Linked DNA regions of Nothobranchius furzeri. The main gene of each other region encodes a partner of the protein of the gene in region 2 in a complex. Links are inferred from orthologs where the notes say so. Each region holds a gene or a part of one and is shown on either strand. Other genes may lie near its edges.

Evidence for each region. Proteins that work in one complex are often made in the same cells at the same time.
Region 1: the proteins of mapkap1 (region 2) and mlst8 are in contact, whole or in part, in a cryo-EM structure (PDB 7PE8), measured with the Homo sapiens proteins. The link is inferred for Nothobranchius furzeri from reciprocal best matches to the Homo sapiens genes MAPKAP1 and MLST8. Residues at the interface, in NP_001006618.1 of Homo sapiens: Lys102, Cys103, Lys104, Asn105, Ile106, Gln107, Trp108, Lys109, Arg111, Asn112, Ser113, Lys121, Leu123, Phe124, Glu125, Lys126, Lys127, Ser128, Leu129, Gly137, Lys138, Gln139, Ser140, Ile141, Leu142, Val144, Arg145, Leu146; in NP_001186102.1 of Homo sapiens: Ala29, His30, Pro77, Ile78, Ile79, Ser80, Tyr81, Asp82, Gly83, Arg98, Arg110, Ile111, Trp112, Gln120, Cys121, Gln122, Arg123, Ile124, Asn139, Gln140, Ala141, Leu157, Lys158, Ile203, Glu206, Ser279, Gly280, Asp281, Gln283, Asp322.

What each region holds. Positions count from the first base shown.
Region 1 is NC_091756.1:30,073,457-30,078,449, reverse strand, and holds the start of mlst8 (target of rapamycin complex subunit lst8), read right to left. Parts: upstream 3,094-4,993; 5' UTR 3,000-3,093; intron 2,994-2,999; exon of another isoform or gene 2,798-2,993; 5' UTR 2,762-2,797; coding exon 2,633-2,761; intron 2,517-2,632; coding exon 2,465-2,516; intron 1,691-2,464; exon of another isoform or gene 1,555-1,690; intron 995-1,554; coding exon 832-994; intron 764-831; coding exon 688-763; intron 597-687; coding exon 444-596; intron 361-443; coding exon 236-360; intron 152-235; coding exon 1-151. Other genes in the region: meiob (meiosis-specific with OB domain-containing protein), read right to left, coding at 4,684-4,797, 4,877-4,963.
Region 2 is NC_091746.1:36,982,419-36,987,445, reverse strand, and holds the start of mapkap1 (target of rapamycin complex 2 subunit MAPKAP1), read right to left. Parts: upstream 3,164-5,027; 5' UTR 2,949-3,163; intron 1,329-2,948; 5' UTR 1,165-1,328; coding exon 882-1,164; intron 1-881. UniProt on the Homo sapiens protein: Component of the mechanistic target of rapamycin complex 2 (mTORC2), which transduces signals from growth factors to pathways involved in proliferation, cytoskeletal organization, lipogenesis and anabolic output.

The DNA of each region.
Region 1 (4,993 bases), on a different chromosome or scaffold from region 2:
CTGGGAGTCTCCAGAGAACGCACAGTCCCACATCCAACCCCGGGACGTCTCTCCTGGATTGTTGCTCTTGATGCTCAGCTCTGTCATCAGAGAGAAATTGGACGTTCTCCAGATCTTACAGGTCTGATCTGCTGAGCAGGTGGCCAGCAGTCTAGAGGTGAACACAAAAATGCAGCTGCAGCTCACGCAGAAAAGGGTTTCTGAATGTGTCGTGGTTTGGGGAGAAACCGCTCACGTGGAATCTGGGCTGAACTTGCAGCGCAGGGAGTAGCGTTTGTGTGCTGGGATCTTTGTTTTTGGAATGAGCTGAGTCACTTCATCTCCCATCCCTCCAGCCAGGTTCCACACATAACAGTTTCCCTGTTGAGCACAAAAAAGAACCGGTTTGCTTTTGTCTTTTTTAAATTACCCAGCATGGCCGATATTCTCATTTGCAGACTGACCGAACTGTTGACTGCTGCCATGTAACTGGCATCTGGGTCAATATGAACAGAGTTAACCGAGACTTCTGGTTCTGGAATCAGCTGTTCGTTGTGGTCTGTTTTCAGATCCCAAATATGAATCACTCCACTCTGGTCTCCGACTATCAACTCAGCCTGGAAAACACACAACAGTTAGAGCATTTGGAAACACTGTCACTTTAAACTAAAAGACTAAGATCCCAGAGACAAACGCAGCATGGCTAACCTGGTTGGGATGCAGGCACACACAATTAATGGGAGCGTTTACTTGAAAGATCCTCTGACACTGCAGGTTTCTGGACCTAAACAAGAAGCAGGGTTTATTTTAAGTTGGAGCTCACGGGTTTTCAGTAAGTCCTGCTACACTGACCTCAGGTCCCATATGCGAGCCATGCAGTCCTCTCCTCCCGTGTACATCCAGCGCCCGTCTTCATGGAAGCCCACAGAAGTGATGTTCTTGCTGACGCCGTCGTAGTTGATGACGGGGTTTGGGTTGTTGGAGTTCAGGTCGTACATGCGGATGTGCTGGTAACCTTTGAAACAGAATGCACATTACCTGTGAGATAAATCCAAAGCGTTTAACGTTTTACTGGTTCAATTATTTGCTTTTCTTAAAGAACCTGTCTGATTTAGGGGTTGTACGAAATAGTCGACTAGTCGACTTCACGGCTCTGTAGTGACTTTTTATGCCTGTCATCAACTAGTCGCTGTCACGTCATAATGACTGACAAGATGCAGTCCTCGGAAAAGACAGCAGGTGATGAGCCCCTGCGCGTCTGGATCGAGGCGGAGGCGACGCGCTGTGCGGTACTGACACCGGCGGTAAAACGGACATTTAACCAAACTGTGACCTTTTCCCTCTTGCAATTTAACCTTCCCCTCACCCCCATCCTAATCTTAACCAGTTTGCGCATGCAAAGCTCTGATCGTTGACGCGCTCCAGACATTGCGTCCTGAGCACCGCCAAATCAGGTGTCACCACCTCAAAAACAAATTAAACACGCGATCGTTCATGTCGGCTCATTTCCTTTCATGTTTTCTGTCTGTTATTTGTGCCTGATGCATTTCGCTGCTGCGGAGCGATGCGCATCACCTGTTGTCCTCCGGTGACGCACCCCCAAGATTCCACTATCTCTCCACTCCGCTCTGGCACGAACTCCGCAGCAAAAACGGTCCCGTTGTAGTTGGCCGGCGAGCAGCGGCACTCCGCTGTTTTTGCGGTCGGTAGATCTTTTAGAACTGCAGTTCAAAGGTAACTCATAAGGTGAATATATATGAACCCAGGTAGCAGGTTTTCTTTAGGACTGAGAGGAGATGCAGGAAGATAATAAAGACAGGACAGAAAAATAGTCAAATAAAAACAAGTTAGTTTTTGTACCTGGTGGTTGCAACAAACAGACACCACTGAATGTAATCAGAAGTGAGGAACAGAAAATGAAATCATTATTTGAATGTTTAGAGCAGCAGGAAAGGCTGCAGGCGCATCAGTGAGATTGCGGCTGCTGCGCAGGGGGAGGGGGGAGAGGACTGAAGTAGGATGCAGAAACTACCGTTGTTAAAAGAGATGTGTTAACTTAGAAAATGTGGGCGCAATTTTAATTGTCAAAAACTCCAGCGAATCTATCGACCGACCCCCCCCCCCCCCGCCACTTCCGGCGTATGACGTCATCAACGACTAGTCGAAGTCGACTTGACTTTCATTACTTGACTGTCGACTTTAAAAAAAATAAAGTCGTGCAGGCCCTAGTCTGATTTTGTTTTTTGCAAATGCCACCAAATCCCATAAACTAGTCCCATTCTTCGCTCAGTATTTTGCTGAAGCATTCAACAACAACTAGAGCCAATGAGGTCCTTTTCAAATCCTGTCCAACCAACTGAACCCATCGCAGGTAGATTCTGAAGGCGGATAAGCTTTACAAAACAATTTATATTTTATAAATATGGGGTACTGTAAGTAGAGAAACACACAACGTGAAGCTCTATTGATGCATGCATGAACCAACCTGCAGCTGCAATCATACTTCTGTCAGGCGTCACCTCCAGGGAATTGACTTGCTGGGGGAAAATGTCAAGAAAATAAACTTTTATTATATGTCTAATTATTGCATTCTGTTTCTGTAAAGGGTTTCTTTAAAAACAAATACGACAATCGTTAGCTCAAGCACAAGTACCGAGTCCTGGTGCTGGACCGTCCTGGTGCAGATCCCACTGTGGGCCTGCCAGAAGCGGACAGTGTGGTCATATCCCGCCGTGGCCAGAATAACCGGGTCGCTGCCCACCGTCCCCTGGTTCACATTCATGTTTCCACAGCAGTCTGGTTGTCAGAACCGTCAATGCTACACTAAGATAATGAAAATTAGCATTCTGACCTTTACTAAAAGGGATGAAAATCACAGCTTAACAGAAGCTAGTCTTAGCTCAACAAGCTAACCAAGGTCGAAGTTTAACACTTTCGAGATTAAACCGTTTTCTGCGACAACACCTCTCACCTTACAGTAAAACAGCGATATTTGATAAACAGCATTTTGTTTACATTACCCTCTGCCGTCGATTCAGGAAAAAACGCGTCTTGGTTAAAAGCGTCCTCCAGAAACCAGAGTTCCGTTACAAACGTTCCGTGTTGATGAGTGCATTACCGCCACTTACTGGTGAATTAGAAATTAACAGGACGAACTGTCTGGATTTACGTCATGTTAATAATAAATATATTGCATTTATTAAGAATAAAATACCTCTAAGTCTACCGTGGGTTTAGTTTCGCCCTGAGGCCGCACGATCTGATGTTTATAGAGCTGCAGTTAACCGCTTCAGCTTGTTTATTTTATCGTGTTCAACACAAATAATTAAAAGTTAAGTAGTCTGCATATGTAAAGATGATATGGCTTTCCAGTCATCTAGACAAACTACGCTAATTCAATAATCGTAGTAATTTTAAGTGGTTTTATCTTCAACCACTTGTCTCCAGAAGAGGGCGATCCCTTACTCTCGAAAGCTAGACTCAGTTCTCGTTTTTTCATCCAGCTGACCTAGCTAAACATAAAAATTCATTACATATGTGGCCATTAATCAAAACAAATGACAGATTATAAGTACGGTAATTAAATTAAACGTTTATTCAGATAAAGAACAACCCGTATAAAAGAACTGTTTCTCTATTCTGTAGTTGTTACTTTTGCTGCATTTGTTTTCTTTTATTTAAATTATATGAAAAGGTTACAAATTTGTGAGATCCAAACAAATCTAAATGGTTTTCCTGTTAAAACAGAAATGTTTACCTTTTGAAAAATAATTCCCATGTATGAATGTCTGTTTATTAGACGCTGTTGAGTATTTATTGGTCAATAACTAATAATTAAGTTTGATATCTGACATGTTTGATTAGAAACTACAAACTCATGCTGGTAAAAATGTTATCTAAATATATTTATTTGACCTATTTGATGCATAGACTTTTAAGTTATGTTATGCAATAAAATAAACATTTGATTACTTGTTTTTAAATATGACTGAAAATATTTAATAAGCAGACGCCCAGCGCAACACCCGCTCACACATCTGAAGTAAGCCACTGATATGTGAACTCATGTTTTCACCAGTCGTTTTAAAATCAATGCATATAAAAGTACACATGACTGAATCAATACAAAAGTTAATTCATGCAATTATTGATGCTTATACTACCATTTGTACTCTTTAATAGTAACATTACCCCTCTTGTTGTCTATTGAATTTGTCTTTATTTCATATATAAATATTCTGTAATTTTTTATTGTCTCATAATAAACCTACATATAGTGGTTTTACATTTAATAACTACTATTTTGCCTTCATAAGCTTATTTATTCTTAAAATTAGCAGCTTCAATCCTCCACTGAATACGAATTGTTTAAAGTAGAATAAACCCACTAATTGAAATGTTTTAAGGTTTTAATTAGAAAACAATCTTTTTAACTCACTGGCTGATTATTGACATTAATGCAACAGAAGAGTAAACATGATCTCACAGGATATTATCAGCACACTGCTTTTAAACAGATGTTTATTTTAACATTTATCAAACACTTTAATAACATGAATAAATACATTAAGTTAAATAAATAAATATTGTGGATACATAAATTATCGTTAATACACAAAACCCACATCCTCCGAGCACCATCTGAGCCAAACAGAACTGTGATGACCCAGGCTGACAGGAACAGATGTGCTGAACATCTGCTGATTAAACATGCTGCAGCAGAGCCGACATGTGCTGCTTCACCTCTCCCGGATCCGCCAGCGAGCAGGACAGGATCGCCCCTCTGATCCCGCTCTTCATCTTAGTAGAAGGAACGATCTACAACACATTGTGTGATTTTAGAAACACGTGACTTGTTTTGAAAGAAACTTACAGAGAGATCAGAGGCTCACTGTACCTTCACATATATTTTGCACCTTTCCAAAAGAAGCCTCCATTTCAGAGCAGTTCGCTGATCATCAGTCAGACGAGTGAACTCGTCTGTCTGTAACAGATTTAACAGTTTTCTTCAGCT
Region 2 (5,027 bases):
ATTGTAGCCACAGCCACGAGGGCGCGCCAGTAGCCACAAATGGCTGTGACTGCTATCCTGTAGCTACGAGAAGAGTCAATGGCCATAGCTATGAATTGCTGTGACAGCACCCACTGCCCAGACAGACTCCTTTACTTTAAAGGTTTTGCGATAGGTTAACACTTAACTGAGAAGGATTGTTTTGGCAGTTTATAAGTACAATGACTACAAAATGTGTTCATATTTGAAACTTTCTTCATATTTGATGTTTAATGAATGTCTTTAGTGTACTTCAAACTGGTTCACCGGGGCTGTGCGGTGCTCTGCCCGTAGCACAGTAGCTGTGGTCATAGAAGTCAACTGCTATGCTCATAGAACAGTGGCTATAACTACAACCACAGACCCAGCCCGCCTAATGAGTACCACTGGCCTATGAGCTTGACCCTCCCATAGTCCAGTCAGAATTGACAAAGCTCCTCTGGTAAGAAGCAAAACGCCTTCAAGAAGCAAGTAAGTCCAGTTGCCTTCACCAACACAGGGAGGTTGTGATGTCATACTGAACAATCAGAAACGTCATGATGATAGTGGTAATGCTAATGTGTTGTACATTTTATAAGGGGATATGTCAAGTCTCAGTTCTGGAGCCTCAAATGAAAAGAAGCAAAGGGCACACGAACACACACACAAACACGGTTCTACCTGCCTCACACCCACACATCCCACAAAACAATCAATTAAATTCACATCGACAATCATGATTCTTGTAGCAGCAGCAACATGTTTTGATAACATGATTTCCTTAAACAAAACAAACCAAACCCACATTAGTCCAGATTAGACCCCTCCAAACCTCTGAGGAACTGTACACCTACAAACACGCCAGAGCCTGGACACGAGCTCACCTGTGTTGGAGCGCCGACGAATGCCAAAGTCCCAGCTGGAGGTGATGTCCATGGACTGAGACAGCTCGCACGTATGACCGTCCACCATGCCACTGCTGTTTTCACTGAGAGAGTTTGAACCAGAAGATCCACAGCTGCTGCCAGGCACCAGAGTGAGCTGGCACTTCTCCAGATCCACATCCTGGTCTATTAATACCATCTCACACATTCCCGTATCATCGCTGGTCACGTGGGACTGTCTGATGTGGGCTAGAATGATGGCCGGATTGTCCAAGAAAGCCATTTCTAGTGCTTTACAAACAGCTTCACTCTCTGCTGAATGAGGCTCTCTCTTCAGTTTTTATTCAGCAATGTTGAAGCAGCAACTGATGATACGCAGAGAGGAATCATCTCTTCCCTCTTGTTCTCCTTACTTCTCCTTCAACTCCATTAGACAAGTCCCACTACCTGTTCAGAATGAAAAACTTAATCCACAAAGCAGGATAAAATTAAGAATCAGGACTGGTAATACATAAAAATTAATATTAATAAAATATTTTGTTTATATTAGTGTTTTGAATAGTTTGCATTGTGATACATCAATTCAAAGATACTTTAATCCCAGCGCTGCAGGAAGAAGAGTGTAGTAGTTATGATGAGAAGCTCTAATTTCTCATAAATATATAAACTGAGCTGAATTCTTGCAGTTTCACTGAGATGACAGTTTGTTACTGGGCACACCGGGCTGCTATGGATGGACATAAACAGAGAATACAACAAAAACAAAATAGGTTTCACACTCAGCTTATCTGAATATTGTTCATAATCTAGTCAGAAACATCAGTTTCTTTTGTTGACACTGAACGACCATGTTGTTAAATTGAACAGATAAACACCATTAGCAGGGTGAACATAGTCACATCCCATAACAGACAGAAATCACGAGATTTGCAGAAGCCACTCATATGTATTCCGCAAATCATAGTATGCTGACGAAGACAACTATACAGGCCATAAAGAGAAATGTCAATTGTTTTCTTTTGTCACATTTCCTATAAGCACAATAAAAATCTACAGTTGACAACTTTACTTGTTATTATAGTCATATCTCCATTTGCACGTGTCTACAATGTGATATCCACAATTATGTGAGAACGTGTTTCAGTTGCTAACAGGCACCAGAATTTTAATGTTGGGAAAACTGTCAACCTACGCCGCTGTTACGTTGATATGTGTTCCCCCCTCTATTTCTGCTTCTTTTGCACCCAGCTGCAAATGGAAACAAACCAAACACAAGAAATAACCCTCACCCTAACCCTTACCCTAACCATAACCATAACCACCCTGGCACCAAAAATGTATGTTTTGCATAAATATATATATTATAAATATTATGTGTAGCACAATTTTTATGCTTGTTTCAGGGTTATGGTTAGGGTAAGGGTTAGGACACATTTTTTTGCGAGTGGATGATTCAAACTCGCTGCTGAGTGCCAAAGAAACAGATCTCGGGGGGGAGACACATATCAACGCAACTTCTAGCTGCTGCGTCCGTCTGCTTCTATCTGTTTTCCAGGCGAGGCGCTGCTCATCTCAAACAAGGCCAATGTCTATGGTGGCTGTTGCGTGGCTGGATGCCACCGCCACGATTTGAGCTCGGCCCTGCTGTTTTAACCTTACACTAACGAAAAAAACCAAACTTGGTTAGCAACGGTCACATCTGAAAGTCAGTTCCAGGAACAACTTTAGCTATTGCTAACATCGACAGGTGACAATTTTCAGTGTCGAGTTTTCACTTTACCCAAAACAGTTCGTAAATAGTTTTGTTATGACTTTATTTTACGTTAAAGGCTTGTTCATTACGTTTGTACAAACGTTTAAAATATCCAGGCTGAACATTCAGGCTCAGCTAGAGTTAGCCTCCCAGCTCTTCTAACCTTCAACATTAGCGTAAAACTCAGAAGTAGCTAAGCCTTCCGTCGACAGCTAAATGTAGCAGCAATCTTTGCAATTTACACCCAGGCCGTGTCACTTCAAATGAGTAAGACGAAAATCAGCTGTGGTGTTTGAGAGAACACTGGACCTAACCTGGAATCAGAGTCAGGGTAGTTAGCCGCTCTCACTGCAGTCAAAACAAGGAGCTTCATGAAAGGCCTCGATGAGAAAGAAAAGTGTTCACAACACAAGTCTTCTTCTCCATGAAAAATAAACTCAAAAGAAAACACTACTTTACTATTTTAAATATTGTAAAATCACAACACTATCTGGAAGCCCGTTTTAATCTGTAGTGCTCAGTGCACTGCTCACCCATGGTAAATCCATTTTTACTTCCGGGTAAAGATTTTCAGAATAAAATATCTACTTTCAATGCACTTTTTGTTTTAACACCATCAACGTGCCTTTTTAAAACTTATTTTTGTTTTCTGTCGATGGGTTGCCGATGTATTACACAGCCATGTCTTCACAATTTCCTGAAAGAAACATCTAGGATTTATTTTATGTGATGGCAAGACCGAAATTTCCAAGTGTAACACCAATACTTTGTAAAACATAAATGTATTTATTCGTTCATTTATTCATTTGTTCATCATTCATTCATTTATTTTTCCAGTACAAATTTGTAATAAAAAATACAAACCGAGCAGGACTACTCACATCAAATGAAACCTCAGAGATCCTCTTTTTGATGACACAAACCACTCTGACACAACAACCACGGCTTTGACACTTAAGCCTTTTTTAAAGTCAAGCAAAAACTTTAAGAGTTGGCTTCTCCTACCTTTGAGGCTCTCTGCAAGTCAAACTTTAACTCATTAGTTTAAGTTTTACTGGCATTATCCTGTTACACAATAACACTGCAATATTCATTATGTGTTCAATACTCGTGCAATACTGGATTTCCATTGCATGTCTGTGTCTCTTGCAGAATGCTGCATAGTTTTGGAACCCAAATTTTTTAATTTTTTATTCATGGTTTTAGTGGTCGAAGGTTACAACACTAGATGCCTATGTGTATATACATGTACCTTAAGGATGCACCGGCAGCAGGCCGATACCGGTATCAGTGAAAGTTAACCAATACCAGGAACCGATACCAATGCAGTTCAATCAATCAATCAAAGCTTTATTTATAAAGTGCCTTCCGCAACCCTGTCAGGAAGCCCAAAGCACTGAACATGGTACAGTTGTAAGTAAATATATTGAAAAAATCAGGACTGGTAATATATAAAAATTAATATTAATAACACACGGGGTGGGGGTGGTCGATGTGCATGTTGTGTGCGGTGGGGTTTGCTGGCTTAGTGTGTTGGCTGATGTGGCAGCAATGAGCCTTTTAGGCATCCAGCCTGCCTAAATTACTGAAGAAGGCTGTGCCATCAGTAGCCTGGGAGACAGCAGTGCAGGGGTCTTGCTGTCCTCCAGGCCTCAGAGAACGAAAGAGAGAAGAAGTGTGGAACGAACACCACGGGGAAAGGAGCCCTGCCCCCCCCCCCCCCCCCACGCTATTTCTGTCAAGCCAGACAGAATAGCTGAAGTGCAACCAGCTTACGCAGACTCGTCCCAGAGTCTTTGATTTCTGAGTTAATTTAAACTTGAGAAAGCGCATCTGCCGAACGCTTCAGCAACGTGTACCGAGGTCAACCCGGGACTGGGCTGCCACACATCTTCGTCTTCTCTGCCAGCCCAGGTGTCTTCTGGATAACACATCCTCCGGGGTCCGGATCTAAAGGGGGTCCTGAGTACGGTGAGGCAGAACACGATAGATAACGTTTTGATGCTGTTTTTCCTAATAAAAACTAAAGTTTAATTCAAAACATAATTTTTCACTCAGATCACCTTTTCTCTCCCTGAAGCAATCTCAGACACCTGCATGCACGCATTCATAATTAATATCCTCAATTTTAGCACATCCAACACAAGGTCTATTTGTGCAAGCTTAAAATATCAACAGTTAAAGATTGTCCAACAAGGTTGCCAATGTTGATTGTTTCCTATGATTGTCATTTCAAATCGTTAGTTTAAATTGAAGAATTAAAACTCTTAAATTTCAAACTTGTCTTTTCATTGAACTGAAACACAGACAACCGGATATGATCGTCAGTTTATCGATGAAAACAATCTTTGAGTCTTCTTATCTCTATAAATTTGGTTATTAATTTTGTTAAA